2 linked regions of the Alligator mississippiensis genome follow. The protein of the gene in region 2 purifies or fractionates together with the protein of the main gene of each other region. This does not show direct contact. Links are inferred from orthologs where the notes say so. Each region holds a gene or a part of one and is shown on either strand. Other genes may lie near its edges.

Region 1 (11,097 bases), about 49 Mb from region 2:
TCCTTCTGCATTCCAAGCACCTTCAATCATCAGCTCAAGGACTATGTCCTGATCTTCAAACCCAGTACCAGGTAAGTCGCATCAAAGACCACAACTCTACCTACCATGCACCCCCACCCCCTGCAAAAACCCACTCTTTTCTGGAACATGCCACTCGCATATGCATACGTGCCACAGACAGAACATTCTTTTTTTAGGAGGACTGGCTGTGGAACAGGTCCCCAGAGGTCAGAGAAAATCTCCTAGAATTTTTTTTGAATGAACTGCACTTATATATGCAGACAGAAAAGATGATTCCCTGAAGTTGACTAGCAACTTTTCTAATTCATCCAGGAAGCTCTTGCAGATATATGCTCTATACAAAAATCATAAAACAGATCCTCCTCCCTTCTCCAGCTTTACCCAAGCTCAAATACCTAGAGGCTTTTCTATAGCGATAAAATCAAATAGAAAAAAAAAATAAAGCCCAGTATTTGCATAACCAAGGTTGTACAACACATCCTGAATCTGATGTGGTTGCCTTGCTCCAAAAGCCCTGAAAAATGCACATGCTGAGATGTGCCTAGTTTAACTCTGCAACAGTTTAGGTGATAAATTAAGGTCATGTTTATTGTAGCCTGCTTTGAAACCATCAGTTATCAGGAAGTTGAACTGGCTCCAAATACAAGTAAGTCTGAAAAGAAATGAAAGAAAAGGAACCTATCCCCACAATAAGGGGAGCTCTAAGTTGGCTGCAAGGTACAATGTTCAGTTAACCCTGAAGAGCCAGCAATCTGTTTGTCCTTTATAATGTGCTATTTGCTGATGTGCAGACTGATGCTGTGAAGAAATGGATGACTTAATAATATTCATCACATCAGCAATACTTACTCCACAGCACATAACTTTTTTGAAGTCTTTAAAAAAGTAGTTTATTATAAGTGTATGACAAAAGCGCTCTTAAAACCCATTCTTGTTATAAGCAAGAGCCTGAGAGCGAGTTGGAAAGGAAACGCTTGTAGTTTAAATATACTTTACAAGTTCTATTGAGCAGAAAGGCAGAGCTCCATGGTCCAGTGTACACCTTTCTTATTTTATAGCTTCACTTCAAGAGTGTTACTATGGAATAACAGTGTTAAACTGGATCAGATTCCTCAGCAACAGTTCGCAAGCCAGAGCCAGAGCTAGAAAACTGGTTTTATTTCTTCCATACAAAGAATGACATTACTTTCCAGTGAGACAGGTATGCTACAGGTGCTTTGCCCAGATTGAAAGTTTTCCAAGAGAATATCACTCGTCTGAATTTGGGTTTCAGTTGCCACCTGCCTCTATTGAACCTACAAAATGGATTTCATGTGACTTTGACAGGAAAATAACTTTTTAAACCATCATACGAGAAGGATCTTTTACAAAGCTCATTTTTCTTGCTGTCGTCACCATAACTTCCTATTTAGCAGGCTACACAACAAGAGAAGTGTCACTGGGTTTCTAATTTTTTTTTTTTTTGTCACTTTCCAGTTTCACTTTCCTTTAAAGGAGAAAAGAAAAAAAAAACAAAAGAAAACGCACCAGCACGTTCCCCTCTCCTCCAGCACTATATTCTTCCTATCATATCTCATTTATTTCTTTTCCACAAATACATGTGGACCAGATGGGTATCAGCTCTCCTTCGTTTTCTCGAGTTTTTCCTGCTCAAGCATACTGATAGACTATGCCCATTCAATTAATATAATAAATTAGAGATGCACATATTTCTGAAGACACAAGGACACAGAATAAACCCTAGTAAACAGAGTTTTAGCTTTGCAAGCCTGATCTGGAGCTTCAACAATTCGATCAACACAAAACATGCTGGATATTTGCATCAACAAATAAATCCCTGTACTGCCTTGGAGAGAAAACACAAGGACCCTGCAGTATACTGATGCTGTAGCTTATCTGCTGTAAGGAAATGCTGCCTTGATGTCATATAACATTAAAAAAAAAAACAGCACTGAAAATAAGGATGAACTTGGATGACCTGTGCATTTCAGTACATTTCTAATGAATTTCCCTCTCAAAATACTCAGAGATTCAAATTTGCATTAAGATTTATAAAAGGTAACAGCTTTCATTACTATTTACATATACTTCCAGATGTTAGCAGAAAGCAAAAACAGCCAAGACATTTGAATAGACTGGAGTTAAAGGAAATGGGAATGGAGCATCCATACATGATCACAAGGATGGTTACGGCTTTAAAGCTTGAATCACTGAAATCATTTAGATTCAGAAGCACAAGGTCACAAACTAGTCGCTTACAATTAGAAAGCGCTGGTCTTTCTTCAAGTTCACACACCTTTGAAACTGACCTCGTTTCCCTTCCTTTTAGGCATCTTGATCTTAGTACCTAATTACAGCCACAACGTGAAATGCTGCAATATCATAACTAGCTCCTTCGTGAAGGAACCAAGTCCACAGACTGGGAATTTTTTAGGCTGCCTTCAAAAGACAGTCAGTGTCCTCCCCTGACGCAGGCAAAGTATATCTGTTAAACTGCACTAAAGAACTGACATATGTGATGGCATTTTCTGTTTCAATCTTTACAGTACATGCCAGTCTTGCAGTCCGCAGAAGCTAGCATTCACAGAAAAGTATTCAAATCCCTCCAAGATGCTTTCAGGGATTACCTAAGAGGAGTGCTTTGAAAAGTCTCTCTCTCCGGTTCCCAGATCCAGGCACGCAGAAGCCATTTAACTGTCAACACACAAAGGTGTTGTATACCAAACAGAACGTTCAACGGAATCGGACAGTCCAGTACCTTCTGGGCGGATCGGCCGAGCACTGACTTACTCTGTGCAAGCCAGCCAGCTTCCCCGCTGTAACACTTGGCACACGGCTCAAAGCTAAGCAAGCTCCCCCTGAGCAAGTTTTACCTGCCACTGCCATGCTTGCTTAAGAAGATGAGCGTACGCTATTCCAAGCATTCAAAAGCAAGAACTTTGAAAACTTTTAGCAAGTTAGCCCAATTACTAAGCGAGAAAGAGACTCAGCCTCCCATTACCAATCTTCTCCAGCCTCTGCAGACTTCACTTTGACCTAAACAAACAAATCTCCAGTGTCAATTTAAGCAAAACATGTATGACGGCAACAACAAACGCGTATTTCACTGGAAGTTCAACACAAGGAGCCGGACGATTTACAGAAGGGTTTGTTCCTCCCGCCTCGAGACGCGAGCGAGAGCAACAAGCCTGCCATTCACCGCAAGAGAAGCGTCATACGCGCCTACACACATGCAGCGAGCTCGCTGGACGGTACGACCGCACGAGAAAGACGTCTTGCGCGTTTATCGCCTCGAAAGCATCGCCGCCGCCGGTACGAAGCATCGCCCCGGGGTCACCCCGCGTTTCCAGCGGGAGACCCGGCGGCTACGTTCTCTCGGCGCCACGCACGGAGTCATTTTCCCGGGGGAAGAGTTTCTCCCAAAACTTCTGAAAAATCGCCGGGAGATGCCGGAGCCCCACGGCACGGCGCGCGCAGACCGGCTCCGCTCCACTTCCCTGCCGGTCTCGGCGGCGCGCACGTCCCGACTCCGGGCCTAGTTGCGAAGAGCGGAAGACCTTTAAAAACCTTCGCCGGGCTCTGGGTTTCGCACCGGAGACGGCTTCCTCCGCCCGCCCCCCAAAACACCCACGGCAAAAATCATCCTCGGTATCCAAAACTTGGCTGGAGGCAGCCACTTACCTCCAGGGAGAGGGGGGCAGGCAGGGCTGCTCCCTGCGCCCGCCGCCGGCCCTCGGGGAGGGGGACACGCGCGGCCCACCCCGCCCCACAACAGGTGCAGCCCGCGGCACCCCCGGGCAGGGGGCGCCGCTGGGCGAGGGGCCGAGCCGGCAAAGGATACTGTTGGGGCGGCTGGGGCGGCAAGGCCCGGATGGCGGGGTGCGGAGGAGGCGCCCCCGCGGCCGCCGGGTGAGGGGGAGCCGCGGGGGGAGGCGGCCCCGGCGCCGCCGCCGCCGCCCCGCTGCCCGCCGCCGCCGAGCCGGGCTTCAGAGCCGCCTTCTGCGGGACACTCATGGCCACGCGCAGCCACCACCCCCCGGCGGGGAGCGGGGCCGGGGGGGAGCCGGGCCGCGGCGGCGGGGGCAGGGGCAGCCCGGCGGGCCAGCACCACCGGCCGGTCTCCGTGACAACGCGCCTCGGGCGGGCGGGCGGGCGCCGCCGCTCAGGCCGCGCTGCTCATGGGCCGCCGGCGGCGGCGGAGGGTGTCGGGCCCCCTCCCCGGGGGCAGCGGCGCCCTCGGCGGTGGCGGCTGCGGGGCGATGCCGGCGGATTCTCCTCACTGGAGCAGCGGAGCATCAAACATGGCGCCGCGGCCGCCTCCAGCACTCCGGCAGGGCGGGCGCTCGGGCCTCTCCGGAGCCGCTCGGCTCGGCCCGCCTCGGCCCTTTCCGGACGCGCTCGGCTTGGCCCGCCCTTCGGGCAGCTTCGGGCGCCGGTGCCGAGCAGCTTCGGAAACGCTCGGCTTCCCTCGGCGTCTTCCGGAAGGAGCCGAGGCGCTCACCTGGCAGGAGTCTCCTCAGGGTCCTCTCCTCTCCCCCCCCCCCCCCCCTCAACCTGCAGCTGAGGGGCTCCCCTTTCCTCTCCAAAAAGACACAAAAAATGGATATTTTTGTTCTTATGTGAGAAAAGTACAAGGGCTACTCAAAAAGTAATCCAGACGCATGCTCTAGGGAACAAAATATTTAATTTAGAGGGGATGCATATGGGTGCACGTGCACCCCCTGCAAAAAAGTGCCACCGACACTGCCGGCAGTCACTGCTCACCACTCCCACCCACCACCACGGGCACTGCCAGCGGTGTCCGTAGACAGCACCGCTGCCGCCACCCGTGGGCAGTCCCCATCTCCCCTGGGCCACGCAGCATTCGTGTTCACAGGGGTTTTGGCTTAATCTCCTTTGAAGTACACTCCTTCTGCAGCCGCGCGCTTCTCCCAGCGTTTCTGCCATCGTTGGGAGCGCGTCGGATCAGCAAGCTGGAATTGCTAAGAGCCGCTCAGTCACGTTGTGTTGTAGGGTTTCCACGTCACAAAACCTCCCAAAGTTTCCTCTCGTTGAGGGGCGCAGGGGCCATATCAGGCGAATAGGGAGGCGGCGACACTTGTGGGATACAGTGCAACATTTTTCTCTCCACTCAACGAAAGAAAACCTTGAAAGGAAGAGTTTGTGACCATCGTTCATCTTAAAATTTCATGAAAATCCATTTTCATGGATTATTTTTTATCGTAGGGGGCCTCTTAAACTGGACATAGCTTAGGGCAGCGGTCTCCAAACTTTTTATGGGGAAGATCACTTTTTGAAAATAAAGGTCACTCCAGGCTGTACTGCACCCCCAAGAGATGGGGCGGTAGCCCCCCCGGCTCCAATCCTCCCACCACCCAGCCAGGCTAGGGCCCACTTACCTTCCCCTGCTCCTGGCTGGGCCCCCGTTGTTAATCGCTCACTACGGAGCATGAACGACTGCTGCCTCCCTAAATCGGGGGGCACCATGGCAGCGAGCAGGGACTGTCTGCAGCTGCCAACGGTGGTGTGAGACAGCCATGGTGAGCAAAGACCGTCCACAGACACCGTCAGTGGGTGGTGAACGGCGATTGGGGACCACTTGCAGATGCCACTGGCCTCTTCCACCGTTTCCAGGCCCAGTGCTGCTCTGAGGAAGGGAGGAGATATGCAGAAGCTGTCCCTTTGCTTACACAGGAGCTGCTCCAGCCTGCTGGCCTCTTCCTGCCCTTCCCAAAAAGGGGTCAAATTGCTGGGGGCGGGGGAAAACCCCCACCCCCTCCTGCAGCAGCCCCAGTAGTTGGTCTACCCCAGGAGAGGGTCAGTGCTGCAGGGCTCACTCAGAGAGGGGGTCCCACACCCACAGAGCTGACATTCAGCCTGATTTTCAGCCAGGGTGCCTTGAGGGCATGTTGCAGACTGCTGCACGACGTTAGCCCTGCTAGATGTGCAAACACAATTCACATGATAAACCCAGAGAATTCAGATCATGACAAACAAACAGTCTGCCCTGTTATGGACTGCCCAAGTTCTTTGCACACAGAAGAATCACTCTATTATTTTTCCATAGTAAAAAGGCATGTGAATGCTAAGAGCTGGCATTTTCCGTAGGGTGCCTTGAGACTAAAAAGGTTGAGAACGACTGACCTAGATGTCTGGAGTCTCCAGTGTTATGGCCAGCATCCTGCCATGCATTAAAAGAACCAGCAGTGTTGTAGCTGTCCCTAGCACTCCACGTGCACTTGGGCACCTTCTCCCTAAAGAGGTAGAAACCAACATGCCTCCTCTTCCTCCACACAGCTCCTGTTCCATTGTGGTTTCATTCCAGTCCAGCCACACACACACACAGCAGATTCTGGGACTCTCAGGTGAGAGATGTGATGCAAAGTAATAAGTCCTTACACTATTTCCCATCTCTCTTTCCAAAAGAAATGAGATAAAATAAGAATGGTTCTTTCAGCTGGCTGTTGTACTTCAAGAAAGATTTGAACAAACTGGACAATGTCCCAGAACAGGGTAGGGAGGAGCGGAAAGTTAAGAGGTCTACAAGACATAACATGAAAGTTTGGAAGAATTGAGTATGGAAAAGAGAAAATTGATGCAAGGGGAGGTGGGATTTGAAAAAGTCTTAAAATATAAAAAGGGTTGTTAGGATGTGATAACTTGCTTGCTTCTACAGGGGACAGAAGTAGTAACAAGTAGGGCTGTGCGAAGCTTCAGGTGGCGATTTGATCCGGAGGAGATTCGGCAGCCGAATCTCTGAATCGAATCAAGGGACCCCTGCCCCCGATCCCCACTGCCCCCCCCCCCCCCGCCCCATCTCCCCCTCGCTTCCCCAGCCCCCACACAGGTGCCCCGCCCAGGCCAGATCCAGCCCTTTAAGAAAAAGGGCTCCGAATCAGATTCGGCCGAATCAAATCACTGTCCCCTGAATCGGCCATATCCGAAACGAGTACTAGCCGTTTTGCACAGGGCTAGTAACAAGCTGAAGTTTTGACATGGGACATTTAGGTTGGGTAGTAGGAAATATTCTCTAAAATTTGAGGGTGACTAAATATTGGAACACATCATCTACTTTAGAGACATAGTGGGTTCTCAGTTTGTTTGGTTTTTTAAGTATAGGTTAAACAAGCACTTGTCTGGGCTGGTCTAGACAGGGGCAATCCTCCCTTGAGCAAGGGGTAGGATTACATGATCTCTTCAGGTCCCTTCAAGCCCTACATCCTATTATTTTATCAGATCCGATCTTGAGGGGGTGCTGAGCACCCTCAACTTCTGTTTAAACCAACAGGAGTTACTAGTAATCAACATCTTAGAGCCAGGCCCATTAAGCCTGGTCCTTTCTGGAAAAATAATGAACAATTGGAGTCTGCTCTTGAGCTTCAGGTCCTGCGTTAAGTTCAGGACAGGGTAAAGGTCGCTTTACCGATGAACATGCCTACTCCCAAAGATGGATAGCGGCCCCCACCCCAAGTAGGTTTGAGCCGCTTCAGGAAAATGTTAAGTTTTTCCGTTACCTCTGCCCAACAGGTGGGCCTTTACAGACACTGCAGGACTCCTGCCACACCATAACTTTTGTGCGTGAAGGCTACTAGTATTCTTTACACCATAAGTTAGCACAGACCCATTACATCAGCTCCCTGCCACCTGTGGCATCTGACCATTGTGGCAAAATCCCCCAGGGACTAGATCTGTCAGTTTTCTAGCCACTAAATGCTGGTAGAGCCAGCACAAGGCTTTTTTTATTCAGTACCGGAACGGTTCCTGCACATCCGAGAAAGGGTTTACCAGCTTCCTTTGGTCCACTAGATGCGTACTGCATTTGACACAACCAGCATTTCAGGACAGGTTGAAACCTGATAATGAAAGAATTTAAAATGCATTCCCTAGAATGAGGCCATTAGTATTCCTTATAAATCTCTTCAAATTTCTGAGGGATAATTACATTGCTTATACTGTGTGCAGAACTGTGCCTTTTGTGCAGCTGTAAATTTATGAAAGATGATTTATAATAAAAATATATTTAAAAGAAGAAAATAATGAACATGACTTGTAAAGTGGAAAACTCTTGTTATAAAATAAATGCACATCTAGCTAATATATTCACATTGTTATAGCCTCCCCCCCATTGAAACACCACTTCCCAGTATTTCAAGGATTACTGTGTTTTTGACAGCTTTTCAGGTGGTTTTATCTGAGGGAGAGATAGCTGCTGCTGCAGTGGAAACCAATTCCACTTTTTAGGGTCTAGGTTTGATCACCTGCTCCCTGTTCAAAGCCATAGGCATTGCAGTGCAGATTCTCACCTTGATAAGGCTCACAGAGCTGATCTGACATGGTTGAGTCTCTGGGGAGGACAATACTTTAGTTGAAGAACGGTAATTTCGGGAGCACAGGACTTGCTAATTCCTTGGTACTCTAGCCCTGCAGAGAGAAAATAGGATAAAAAAAAAGAACACGCAGGGAGGGCTGCTTGCCCTCTACATTTCTCACAGGACCAGTGCTCTATTTATCTGGGGTGAAGCTCAGAGCAGCATTCAATAAGAGAGAGAGAAGTAGATATTTTTAATACATTTTTCCATTGTCAGTTTTATTTGATCCAGTCCTGTGTATAATGAGACAAGGACTGTGCATTAGCTAGCTGGAAACTTGGATACAATTCACAATGGGTGACTTTGAGCAAAAATTATTTGGTGAGCAAAAACCATTAATTGCAAGTAAAAAAAACAACAAAAAACCCAACAAACAGCAAAGGCTCTAGTGTGGACACAGTAATGCTAGCAAAAACTAGCACTTGCACTGGTGTTGCTCAGTGAACTGGTACAAGAAATAGTGACAGCAGCAGCACTTTTTGGCCTTTGTAAACTACATATACACTAGGAGGGTTTGCCAGAGGTCCAAGTACAGTGGACAGATCTCCTCTAGTATATGGTAGGCCTTAATCGTTTTGTAGCTCAGGTCCTGATCTGTAAAATGGGGTTAATGCTATTTCTATACCCGAGAGGGTGATGCAAGAAGAAAGACATTAAAGATTATGAAGGCATTCACATACAAGTGTAGATGGAAGCCATAAAATGATCCCAGATAGATGCAGAGTCTCCAAATGCCTGAAAAAAAAAAAAAAAAAAAAAAAAGACGTGGTTGTGCTTGAAAACTTGTAAATAACTTTTGTCCAACTGTTTAGTTGGTCTAATAAAAAGATGCAACTACATAAAGAACCTTGCTGGCCTACGTCTTTAGACCAACATGGCTACAACCAACAACCCCAGACAGATTGCATCTCAGATGGATTGCTAACTGCACAGGGTCAGCTTTAGGAGATGTGTCACATCAGAAAAGACCCATATAAAGAAGTCTAGTACTAGTGTATTTTTAACTGAACGTAGGCACAGCTAGATCTCAGGAGAAAAGCTGCTGTTAACTGTGCTGCAGTTCTTTTGAGAAGCCATGCGTATCACCAGTAAAAAGCGATTCCTGCCTTACTCGGACCAGAATAGAGGCGCTATCTACAGGAACACCACAACAAAAGACAAAGATTACATGGCATAAAAAAATAAAATAAAAATCACAAGAGTCAGCAACAAAGGGAAGATGACTAGCGTGCTATTCGGTTTCTGTTTCCAGCCATCTGTTTTTATTGCACCAGTCATCCATGCTCCAGCGTAAAGATCTTGCAAAAGGAAAATGACTAAGGTTAGTGAATTCTCATCTATCTCAAGCTCTTCTCAAGGAGCTGGGTGAAAATTAAACTGACTAGGACTGAAAATCCTTGCCAGCTCACTAGGAAGGGATACAAAGGAAATTTGTTAGTCCTAGTCACTTTCCATTTGCAGCAAGGACACACATTTAGCTGTAGAAACAGCTATAGTTATTCTAGCCAATTTCCTTTGACAGCCTGTGGCCTTTCCACTTATAAAATACTTCTGCTGCCAACCCTAAAGAGGCAACGCAGGCATCAAGGTAAAAAGATGCAAAAAATGCGGATTGAGAAAGTTTACAAAGTGAGGGAGCTACAAGAACAAGATGGAGAGGGAAACAAACAACCAACCCCCCAAAACCCCCAAAAAGAGGTTTGTGCCCAAATCCTTGGGAGAGTCGCCATAGCACCTCCTAGCAAACACCATTGCCTTGGAGTCCTTTGCAGTGGCTGTATTTTTAGGTGAGACAAGAGGTGGCACATGTAATTGTGGCACCTGGTGATAAATAATGCACTGAGAATGTTTCAGGTTTTCCTCCTGCTCTTTTCAGTCATGGGAAGCAGCAGCATGGGGTTGCTAATTACTGCTGAGGAAGTGAAGAAAAAGTTCATACAGGGAGAGATTGGAGCCCTTTGCTGGTATTCTCACAAGCCATTAGAACTGTGGCTGTCTCCAGTTAAGACATCTAGCAAAAGCTGCAATTATCTACCTCTTTAAACTTTTGCTGGGAAGAAATATTACTAGGTGCTTCCTCCCTCTCAGCATGGCTGGGAAACAACTAACTGGCGCGATTCAGAGACAGAAGACCTTGAGAATTAAACCATCTGCGGATTTCCCTAAAAGCTGCAGGAGAGAGAGAAATGAAGATCCGGCTTTCCTTCCTCCAAGCAGCTGCCGGGCGATAGCTGAAGCCAGAATAACTGAAGTCAGAGAAGCTATGCTTACACGGATATAATCTTGGCCTATAACAAAATCAGTTTTTATACATCTATGCATCAGCAATAATGGATCTCTGCTGCATCGTTTTCTTAAACTCCAGCTTTACCCAAAAACCATCTTCCGTCCATAAACAAAACTGAAGATACCCGTCATAGTACATAGCGGCTTTAAAGGTTTGGATGCAGCTTGACCATGCCCACTTTCCATCCAGAATGGGGACATCAAGGAATTATGGGAGAAGGAGGGCTATATCCTTGCTCAGGTTGGAGAGACCAGCCAGACTGCCTCCCAAGAGAGCTGGTAAACTGCCCAGTAGGAAATGTCAGTGTCTGGGAAACACAGAAATAGAAGAAACCTCAGGAAGGGGGCATTGCTTAAGGTCTAACCTAGAATATTAGGAGCCTGGAGGGAGGCTTCAGTGGGTTAAACGTAACAAGGAGCA
Region 2 (10,414 bases):
TGCAAACTTTGCACAATAGTTTTCCTGAAAGCAAAGGCAAACAAGCAGGGAATATAACATTGGCCATTTTTATGAAATACAAGGCTACCTACCTGTTATAGTACTTAGCTGTGTTAGTCTGAAGTCAGGTAGAAGGCAGGGTAGGGTGGCACCTTAGAGTGCTAACTCATTCAGAGGCATAAGCTTTTGTAGGCAACAGCATCTGATGAAGTAGGCTGTTACCTATGAAAACGTATGCGTCTCTGAATGCCTTTAGCCTTTAAGGTGCCACCGTGACCTACCTTCTGCCTATAATAATAAATACTTAGCATTGTTAGGTACTGTATGTACATTAATTCATCTTCATTATATTAACTGACCTTCTGAAAGGTAGAACATGAGATAATATTCTACAATAGAGATAGCATTGTACATACAGAGTAACAGATGGTTACTTTACAAAGTAAGACCTGCTTTAGGCCACAGTAAATTTGAACTCCTTTCCCTTGAAATTTTTCAGACTGCTTCCACACCCACAAAGATCTGAGTGACTCACGGATTCTCCTTTTCCTCCTCCTGGCATTATCTGAGCTGTCCTCCAGCCCTTTTTTCTGCATGGAGTGGTAGGGACAGAAGGAGTTTATCTGAGTGGATAGGCTCTTTGCTCCCTTACCTGTAGAGAGGAAAGGATCAGGGAGTTATGGGTGTCCAGTATGTCTGCAAACCAGGCCCTACTCACTGTTCTGGATATATTTTTATGTGCATACAATTGGTAAACAAAATGAATACAGAAAACTACGTTTGACACCACTGAAGTGTACTTGGTTTAATAAACCCTTCTTATGTTCTTGTATAAATATACCCTCTTCTTTAAGAATTGCTTTTTATATTCCACACACAGTCACACAGAAAAATATTGTGGAAAAACTTAATCCAACTGCAGAAATAGTTTTTAGTAAGGTAAAAAAGATTTGATTTAGTATAAGCCATTGACCCAGTCCCACTTTTACTATAAACACAGCAATAAGAGGAAGTACGTTTGGTGGATAAGACACTTCTGAACTGTGCTGTAACATAAGTAATAATAATTACTAGAAGAGAAAGAGAGAATGGGGGCTCAATGCTGCTGATATAAAGGGTACAATGTTAATCAAGGCTTCAGTCACTGAAGGAGTCCATTGGTGTGAGTCCAAGAACTGAAATGCCACATAGGCTTCAAAAAGCGTGAACTTCTCTGTATCTTTTTGCTGCAACAGAGCCACAAACAGGAATCAGTAGTTTCAGTTGTGACAGCCTTAGATAATATATACTTTATTAAAACGCTTAGAGCTCCTTGACATTTGTATTTTGACAGCTGGATTCCAAGAGCCCATTTCTTGCAAACCTTTCCATCCCTGTAACTAATTTTGTTACAAGCACTTCAAATCAGAGCTCTTACAGAATCACCTCCAGCTGATAGCACTTGAAATCTAGGTATAAGGAGCTGTCCCACGCCATCCTAATGTTGCTAAGGATGGAAAGAGACACAATGAAAACCAGAGTGAATCCTTGAGGCAGATAAGTGAGGAACATTTATACCAGAAAGGGAAAAAAAAAGAGAGAAATTGAAAGTAAGAATAGCTATTATAAATGAAAAGATCTCCAAGAACAAACTATAGAGGCAAAGAGAAGAAAGCAGAGTCATGTATTTATGGTAACTTGAGTGGTTATTGAAGGAGCACGGGTCAGTCTGAAAGGAGCAAAACTTTGTTCCAGGTACTTTCAGTTAGCTTATTGCTGCAAACTAGAAAATCAAAGTCTTGTTAATCAAACCTACCATAATGATTTAGCTGGAAGATACTGAAGTATCTGATCTCCCACTTCAGAGAAAAAAGTTAACCTTTCTCTAAGAACTTACATGTAAACATGCAACTGCAAGTAAATAAGCAGTTAATTGGATTTGAATGGAGTTAGGGTGACATCTTGTGACTAATTTACAAAATTACAAAGCTGGATTTTCCTTGCTTTATTCTTCCGATTTCTTCCCCCAAAGGATTATCCACATACAGAAGTGATTGCAAAATAAGATAGGGTCTGACATCAGCATTAACTCTTTGTATGGGTTTTCTTAATCTGCAGAATACCTTTTTACTATGTGGCTAACTCCATTTCCAAAGTGGACCAAAAACCAACTGCTAGAGTAAAAAAGGGGTGGCCAACATCCAACACGCGTACAACATGTGGCACAGGCAGCCTCTGTGTAGCACACAGCTGATTAGGGAAGGGACAGGCAGCACAGCAGCAGATAGAGTTGGGAACAGAAAACAGAGCAACAGATCAGGCTGGGGGAGGAGTAATCAGAGTGGCACTTGAGGAGGGCACAGGGCTAATTTGTGATATGCCCGCCAAAAAGGTTGGCCTCCACTGATGTAGAACATGAGAATCCTCATGGGGAGTGACTGCAGAATGACTATTCCGAGCCATTTCTCTGTGTAGACAAGTCCATTGCAGAATCAAAATAGTATCCACAACCAAGTCAAAGACTTTTTTCACATCCTGCTTTACATTTGTTATTTTGCACATCAGCCAGCATCTTGCCAGGTCTTGGACAACTTCCTGCACAGGCCATCTCTGGTCCACATCAGACTCCAGCTTCCAATCTTCAAAAGCTCTAAGAAGGGTGGAACTTCTGTAAGACTAATTAGGAGAAGTATAGCAAGTCATTGGAATGAAGCAATGTGACAATACCGACCCAGAGCATTCAGGTAGAAGAGGCCTATAGTCATCCCTGTGGCACCATTTATAAAGCAGCCTGTGGGCCATTCCATGTGGCTGCTGCCCAGTCTATCCTCCCTGCTTTGATCCCAAGTGTGTCACCCTGCTAAAGCAGTATGAGTCAGCTGCCAACCCAGATGTCGCCAATCACTTGATCGAATCATTGGAAGCAGCTCACCGAGCTTGATAGGAGGAAATGACTGAGAAGCTGGACTTCACCCATTCCATCTGGAAGTGTTGGAGTCTACTTTGTCATTTTGGAGTGGCTCATCAGCCATCAACACCAGGTCACCCTCTCATGGCACCTAACCAAGTAGCCAGCCACCTACTTCATGTAGCAAGAGCGCCGCTGGAAAAAGGAGTGAAAAGCTGCCTCCAAAAGCAATGAAGAACTTTTCACCAGATGCCGCAGACCAGAACCCCTCCAGAACCCTTCACAGTTCTTGAATTGAGTGAAGTTTTGGACAGCATCAAGTCTGGCACTACCCCAGGCTGTGACAGTTCCTTGTCCCAGATGTTACAGTCTGCCATCTGGCTCCAATCTGCCATGCTGTCAGTGGGCCTTGCTGAATAGGTTGCAGACTGGGCAAGGTCTGTGTGCAGCCAACCTCCACCACTGGGGTCTTCACAACAATCCAGACTATAACTGTGGCACAACACATGCCGTGTTGCATATTGTTGATGATTGCCCACTAAGTTCAGTGGTGGACTACAGGAACTGCACACAGCCACCGAGGATGCTATCGTGTGGCTTGGCAATTATACACATGTGGACTGACCTTGCATATGGCACACAGTGTCACTACAGGACCTTTTAAAATGTTTATTTTTTTCTTTTGGCCTCAGACCTGTAGTGGCACTAAGCAGGTGAGGGACCCACAAGTTCTAGGAAAGTCACTTATTTGTCACCTCAGTAGCCAACATGGAAAATAAATGGACACCCTCACTATAGAAATCACAGTGATGTTAAAATGATATGCAAGGCTTAAAGAGTTTTGAGAACATATTGCTCTTGCTTTCCTGTTCTTTTATGACTGTGGCAGAATCCTTTCACCGTTTCTCCTAAATACTCATATCACCAGTCAGCCTCCCTTGGCAGTGACGTGGAAAGATGGACAATTTCTGACAGAGAGGGAAATGCTATTGTCAAATCACAAACTGGCGGAGGGTCAGTGTAGCTGCACTTTTACTCTTTTTTGAATGTGACCACCCATCAAGTGGATGACATCCCTCTAAATCCTAAATAGTTTTGAGGGAGTTGGTATCTCTCACTGCACCAGTTAGAGGGTCAGCAGATATCTCAGCTACTGATGCACTGCTGAGCTACAGGCAAAGAAGTGCTGGATCCCATTTCCATTGCTTCTGAAGTGCCTCTCTGTGCCCTTGGAGGTGTTGGTTGTAGTCATGTTGGTCTAAGGACGTAGGCAGACAAGCTTGTTTGGGTAAATGTGATATCTTTAATTAGACCAACATGGCAGGGAGTAGTACCTTGTAGCGCAGCTAGCCTCGCACTTTTACTCCTAATGGGAAGATCTTGGCTACACACCAACTTTATGGAAATGGGAGGCTCTTCCCTAGCTTGCTCCTGCCGCCATACGGCTGAGGGCAAGCGAAACTTGAAGGCCTCCAAACCCCAAGCCTCCAGGATTGGGCCTGCATGTACGATACCTGCATCTGAAGCCCATTTGGAATCAATTTGGCTGACTTGACTTGGGACACAAAAAAAAGACCTTAAAAAAAGTTGGAAAAATTCTTCTTTGCAAGCTTTTGAGTGAAAACACCCTTCTTTTTTTCACCTGAAGATGGGCGTTTGTCTTCAAAAGCTTGCAAAGAAGAGTTTTTCCAACTATTGAGTTGGTCTAATAAAAGACATCAGATTTACCCAAAGAACCGTGCATGTCTCTGTGCCCTTTGCGCTAGGGGCTGGGCCCCATGTGGGTGCAGAGCTACGAAAGCCCTTTAGGGTCTGGCTAGATTAGAGCTGCTGTCCTATGAATTATCTGAAGCCCTTCCAGATGGGGCTGGATCACTGGCCCCTGGACACAAACAGCCCAGCACGTCCCTACTGCTGAGCACTTCAGGCTTGTGCTTTGCCTCTAGTGTCATGGCCACCTGGAGGGGAGGCAGCCCCTTTCCGACCACGAGACTGCAGGCTAGGCTGATGTGGCGGACCCTACCACCTTCGAATTGTCCTTGTGCACCCCCCCTTTGATGAAGGTGGTAGCGCCCACACACTCAATCCCACCACCCCTCGCCTTTGGACGAACCCATCGCACAGAATTGGTGGGACATCAATCCGTGTCCTAAACTCTGTACAGCCGCCTTCACGCCACCACTGGCATTTAAATAGACGGAGGGACCCAACCTTCCCTTTGGATCTACGCAGGGGGGAAATGCGCAGGTACCACCAACCCCCCCTTTCCACTCAAAGATGGTTCAGTCGGACCCCACCTTAGGCGGGTGAAGGGAAGAGGCCGCCATGCTGGAATGAACCAAGATGTCGAATGAAATAGGGGTGGGGAGGACACACCCCTGCAGGGCAGGAATAAAAGCTGCTACGGAAGGGAAGAGAAAAAGGAGAATGGAGGTGTAACTAGAGATCAAGTATTACCTTCCACGTGCATAGGAGGCGGTGTGTTGAGATTCGAGTGAATCAAAATAAAAAAACCCCTAACAATCCGCTTTCCCCTCCCGCGGGAGTTGGTGCGTGCCGCGTCGCGGTGGCCGCCGGGAGTCGCGCACATGGCCCGTGCGCAGCGCTGCCCCTCCCCCTTTCTTTCCGCAGCGCGGCCCAGCAGCGACCCGTCCATGCAGGAGGCCGAGGAGAGCCCGGCGCCCGCCGAGGAGCCCGAGCAGCCGGGCGCGCCGCTCCCGCTGGAGCAGCAGCAGGAGGAGGAGGAGGAGGTCGAGGCTGAGGCTGAGGCGCCGCCCGGGTCCCCGGAGCACCCGCCCGCCGCCGATGGGCTGCCCGGCCGCCTCAGCCCTGAGGAGGAGGAGGAGGAACAGCCGCCCGCGCCCGCCGAGGAGAAGACCGCAGCCGAGGAAACGCCCAAGGTAGAATCCGAGGAGGAGGCCGAGGCGGAGGAGCCGGAGCCCAGCACTGAGGCCGAGGCCGAGCCGTCCCCGGAGCAGCAGGAGGAGAAGAAGGAGCAGGAGGAGGAGGAGGAAGAAGAGGAGGAGGATGACATCTCCTTCAGCGACCCCGAGGACTTCGTGGACGACATCAGCGAGGAAGGTGGGTGGCCTTTTAATGCCTACCCCCCACTCAGCTTTCCGGGGGGGGGTATCTTTGCAGAGTGACGTGTGCCACGCGTCGGAAGAAGGGCTGCGGTCGTGACACGACGGGTGTCCGATGCAGCGTGGGTCGGTGGGTGATACGAAGGCTGCCACCTCTTACCCTAGGGGTGCGCGACTCGACGTGCCTGGGCTAGAGGGGATGTTGGCCACAGCTAGGAGGGACGAACGCTAGGTTATTCCTGGGGATTTCAAAGCGCCGTGCCGTGTGCGGCGTGCCGAATTTTTTGCCGTGGTTTTGAGAGGAGGAAGGGGTGAGAGAGCGCTGGGGTACCCGTGTACCCCAGGGGTGCGCGTACCACAGGCTGAGAAACTATCCCCTTAGGAGATCGACGATGGGGCCTGTGTTCAAACAAACGTTCGGTGTTGAATTGGATTTATGCAGCGGGCCGGTGGGGTTTTGAAATGTGATAGTGACTGCGTTTGCCTTCCTGACGTGAAGTCCGTCATGTCCCGCCATCGTGTGATGAAACCTCCTGGAATAGGGTCAGAGTTGCCAACTCGCTCCAGCCTGGGCTGGTCCTGTCCGTGCTCTGCACGGGTCTCTCTAAACGTATCTCGGGAGTAAGATACCAGAGGTAAGTATCTGCCGCTAAATGCGTCTTGGAAGTAAGAAAGGAGAGGTAAGTATCTCCCCGTTCTCCGCTCCAGGACAGTGGCGGGGAGGGTTTGATCGCGTCCTCTGCCGGCCCCGTGGTTCACTGGAGTTAGAAACGGTTCTAACCCAGGGACCGTGTAAGGCACGTCGGGCAAACGTCAGTGACGCTTGTTCGGAGCTTGCTGCGTCGTTGTTGGCAATCCCTCGATTTGGGACGTTGTCCAGCTCCTCGGTGAGCCTTCAGGTGACTTGAGGGTGCGGGTTGGTCTAAGGACACAAGCAGACAAGGTTCTTTGTGTCAGTCTGATTTTCTTTTATTTAGACCAACTCAAGTAGTTGGGAAAATTCTTCTTTGCAAGCTTTTGGGGATAAATACCCTTCTGAAGGCTGAGGATGTCTGGAGTTGGTGTGGATGGAAGAGCACAGGTGACCTAAGACCTTGGAGTTATAAAGCACTGTGAGAAATGGTGAGGCTGGGAAGGGTCCAGGCGTTGTCGAGAAGATCTGCCCAAAGCTCACCTCTTAAGGAAATATCAGAGACTCCTCTGTTTAGTACTGGCGGTTCCACATCAAGGTTATGTAGAGAATGGCTGTGCGTATCTATCCCCCCCCATGCGTAGTTGAGAGGAGTACAGCTTCTGGGGGGTGTTCCCCTCTCCCTACGAGTTGAATACTTCTCTCTTTTTTTTTTTTCTCTTCTTTTTCATAGAGGGGTCTTGATGACCCAGGTGAGACTGCACAGAGACATGGATTCTGTAAGCAGCTGTGCACTGAACCAGTATTTACTGTTCTGACACTGGTGTTGCTATCTTTGTGTAAACTTATGCATTGGTTAAAACAGCTTTGTGCAACTGAACAGAACCATTGTGCAAAACTGCTTGGAGAGTATGTGGTTAGAAGCTTTTTATTTAATTAGGAGTTTGGGAGAGACCTATTTTGTCTGTATGCTGAGTTTGGGTTTTTGATAAATTTTTAACCTCTATTCCAGACCCGGACAGGTTTGTCTTTTCCTGCATCATTGTCAGTGGTTATACTTGGCCATCTGCTTCTTGAAAACTACTTTCCTTTGAAAGGAAAGTAGTTCCTCCCAACTTCCCAACTCAATCGTAGTTGAGTTGACTCTTTTTGAAGGAGAAATTGAGTGATATTTCCATCCCAATTCACTGAATTAAGGCTAATACCATATTTGTGATGAATCATGGTTGTTTCAACATCTTCAGTGCCTGTTCCTATATTATGTGAAAATGATTTGAGGATCACTCCACTTCGTTTCATTGCTCTTTTACTGCTGATTGTGACCCGAGTCATCAGTGAATTCCTCTTACTTGGCCTTCATCCAGCAAGAAGTGGGATTAAGTAGACCGGATCATCTGCTGTGTCAAGTTCAGGTTGGGAAAGAGGGTGGTCACAGTGAACCAGTTAGACCCAAGGAAACCTGTTGTTGATGGTCCCCAATGGAGTATTCACTAGGTGAGGCTAGCTGGACCACAGCATCTTGGACCACACCCCTCCCTCTTGTTTCTGGAGGGTGGTATAGGAACTGGTTACACCAGCTTATTTTTTGTGTACTTGCTTTTTTAGGATTGTACGGGATGTAAAACCTCTTAATTCAGTCCTGATTGACAGAGCAGGCAGATATAGATAGCAGACCTACAGAAAGCCTATCAACATAATGAATTACTTAGTTTTTCCAGGTATCTGGGAAACTTTTTCTGGGAACTTTAGTTTTGAAAAGGGTTAGGAGAAATAAATGACTTCACAGGAGGAAATTGTTCCACCTGACTCTAAACTGACTTGCATCTCTTCTTTGGTATCTTACCTTCTTGTTCCACTTTTGGAAATGCTTCCATTTTGCTCTTAATTTTTTCTGTAGAAAAATATGAACTCTTTGAAAGAGAGTGGCTTAGAAAGCTCTGAATGTGCATCTTGAGAGTGCTTTGTATGTTGGGGAATATAATGTGTTTGGCAGCTGTCTTTTGGCATCAATTTTTCCCTTGGGCAATAGCAAAGAGGTTTTAATACCTAGTTTTAAACAGGTGGATCCCTGCCCAGTATAATTGCAGAAAAAGTGATTGAAGTTGAGTGGAGGATGGTCTCAGTTGCCATCACTAGTAATTTATCAACAATGGCTTGGTGTCTTGGCAGGAGTTGCAGTGTATGGGATCTGTTGACTGCCCTGGTTATTAATAAGATCTTTTTAGTGTGAAAATTCTCTTAAATTTATCAAATTGGTGATGATCAGGTCAATGTACAGGGAAAAGTTAGCATGCTTCTGTTTGCTATTGGCTGTAAGCAAGACAACCCCTAACTTATTGGGAGATGACCAAGAGAAATTTTAAAGATCTTGAAACTTTTCTGTGTACTCCTTTCACGAGTCTCTGGCCAGTTCCTACTGCTGCTTCTTTTCAGACCATTTGTCCTTTCTTCTGAGCCCATGCATTGAAAATTTTAACTCTGACTACTATGCACCATCCTCATTCACTTTTTTACACTACTCTTTCCGTTCTATTCAAAACATTTTTGCTGAAATTCTCAAAGCCAAGCTTACCAGCCATCACCTCCTTGCACTATCTGCATCTCTGCTCTTCTCTCTCATTTCTTGCTGTACTTCTCCCATCTTTGACTTCTGTGCTCTTGGTCAGTCTCCTATGGCTGGAAACAGTCTCTTCCTTTGGTGTCTCTGCTGTGCTTTCTGTCTACAATATTTTCAGTATTTTCAATATTTTTTGTTATTTGCCAGTCTTTGCATTGTGAGCCCCATAAGTCAATGAATACCATTGTTAAGTGCTGTGTAAACATACCGTTTTAGCTCAGTTCAACTTCTTATGTTTGTTTAATAAGGAATAGCTGTTTCACCAGGGAATTTGAAGTTACTTCTAATATATTGCACCTGAACTCTGAGTTGTCCTGGACAGGTTGGTTTTTAGAACTGTATGTTGCTTTTGGTTTTGACTGTTTTTCTTTCCCTTGTTCTAAATTACGAAAAAGGCTTGAGGAAAACTGCTATACTTTGCACACCTGACACATGTAAATGAAATTCAATAGAAGAGAATTTCTCTCCACCCTTTGTCACTGGTTCAAGTTGTTACTTTTAACCTTTTTAACTTCTAACATGAATGCATGTACATGCATTCAAAGGGCCTGCCAGGAATCCATAAGGGTGTTTCCTAAACTTAGGGATATTGTCTGGTCTTTTCTTGTGTCACTGGAAGATCTCTGTGGGTCTGAAGGTTGTTTCTGGGCTCTAATACTCATTGATGGGACAAAGATGTCTTCATTTTTTTTTTAATAAAGACTTACTTCATCCAAAGTTAGTAGTACTCACTACTTGTAAACACTACTTACTGTTTCCAAATAACTCGGATATAGATGCATTCCATCCCTTCTCTGTTTTGTACTGCTATCTTTAATCAAGGCAAATTTCCCCACGTAAGTGAGGAATCAAGAATATAATTCTTGACTTCTGTAATGCCACCTTTTCACTAGTTTTCAAATCATTGTTCTCTTCCAGCTAAGACCAGACCTGATACCTTGATGCAGAAGTGAAAGACTTCGGGGCAAGATGTTAATTTGTTCCACTTTTTTTTGTTAATCGTGCAGGGTTTTTTTTCATTTACCCTTTATAGCCAACCTTGCTAATGATACTGTGTTGCTCAAAAAATGTATGCTAAAACAGGACAGCGTGTCCTGTGTAGTCTTGATAATGTTTGCTTCTGTTTATTCATAAGCCAGAACTGTGTGAAGCAAAGTGCACAATGTATAGAAGGCTTACTATATAAATTGTCTATC

Evidence for each region. Proteins that work in one complex are often made in the same cells at the same time.
Region 1: the proteins of EIF3B (region 2) and EIF4G3 purify together in Homo sapiens (affinity purification with mass spectrometry; 3 studies listed by BioGRID and IntAct, with this or other methods). This does not show direct contact. The link is inferred for Alligator mississippiensis from reciprocal best matches to the Homo sapiens genes EIF3B and EIF4G3.

Annotation. Positions count from the first base shown.
Region 1 is NC_081836.1:2,547,954-2,559,050, reverse strand, and holds the start of EIF4G3 (eukaryotic translation initiation factor 4 gamma 3), read right to left. Parts: upstream 4,331-11,097; 5' UTR 4,036-4,330; coding exon 3,863-4,035; intron 1-3,862. UniProt on the Homo sapiens protein: Component of the protein complex eIF4F, which is involved in the recognition of the mRNA cap, ATP-dependent unwinding of 5'-terminal secondary structure and recruitment of mRNA to the ribosome. Functional homolog of EIF4G1.
Region 2 is NC_081836.1:51,165,994-51,176,407, forward strand, and holds the start of EIF3B (eukaryotic translation initiation factor 3 subunit B), read left to right. Parts: upstream 1-5,513; 5' UTR 5,514-5,541; coding exon 5,542-5,968; intron 5,969-10,414. Other genes in the region: SNX8 (sorting nexin-8), read right to left, coding at 536-596.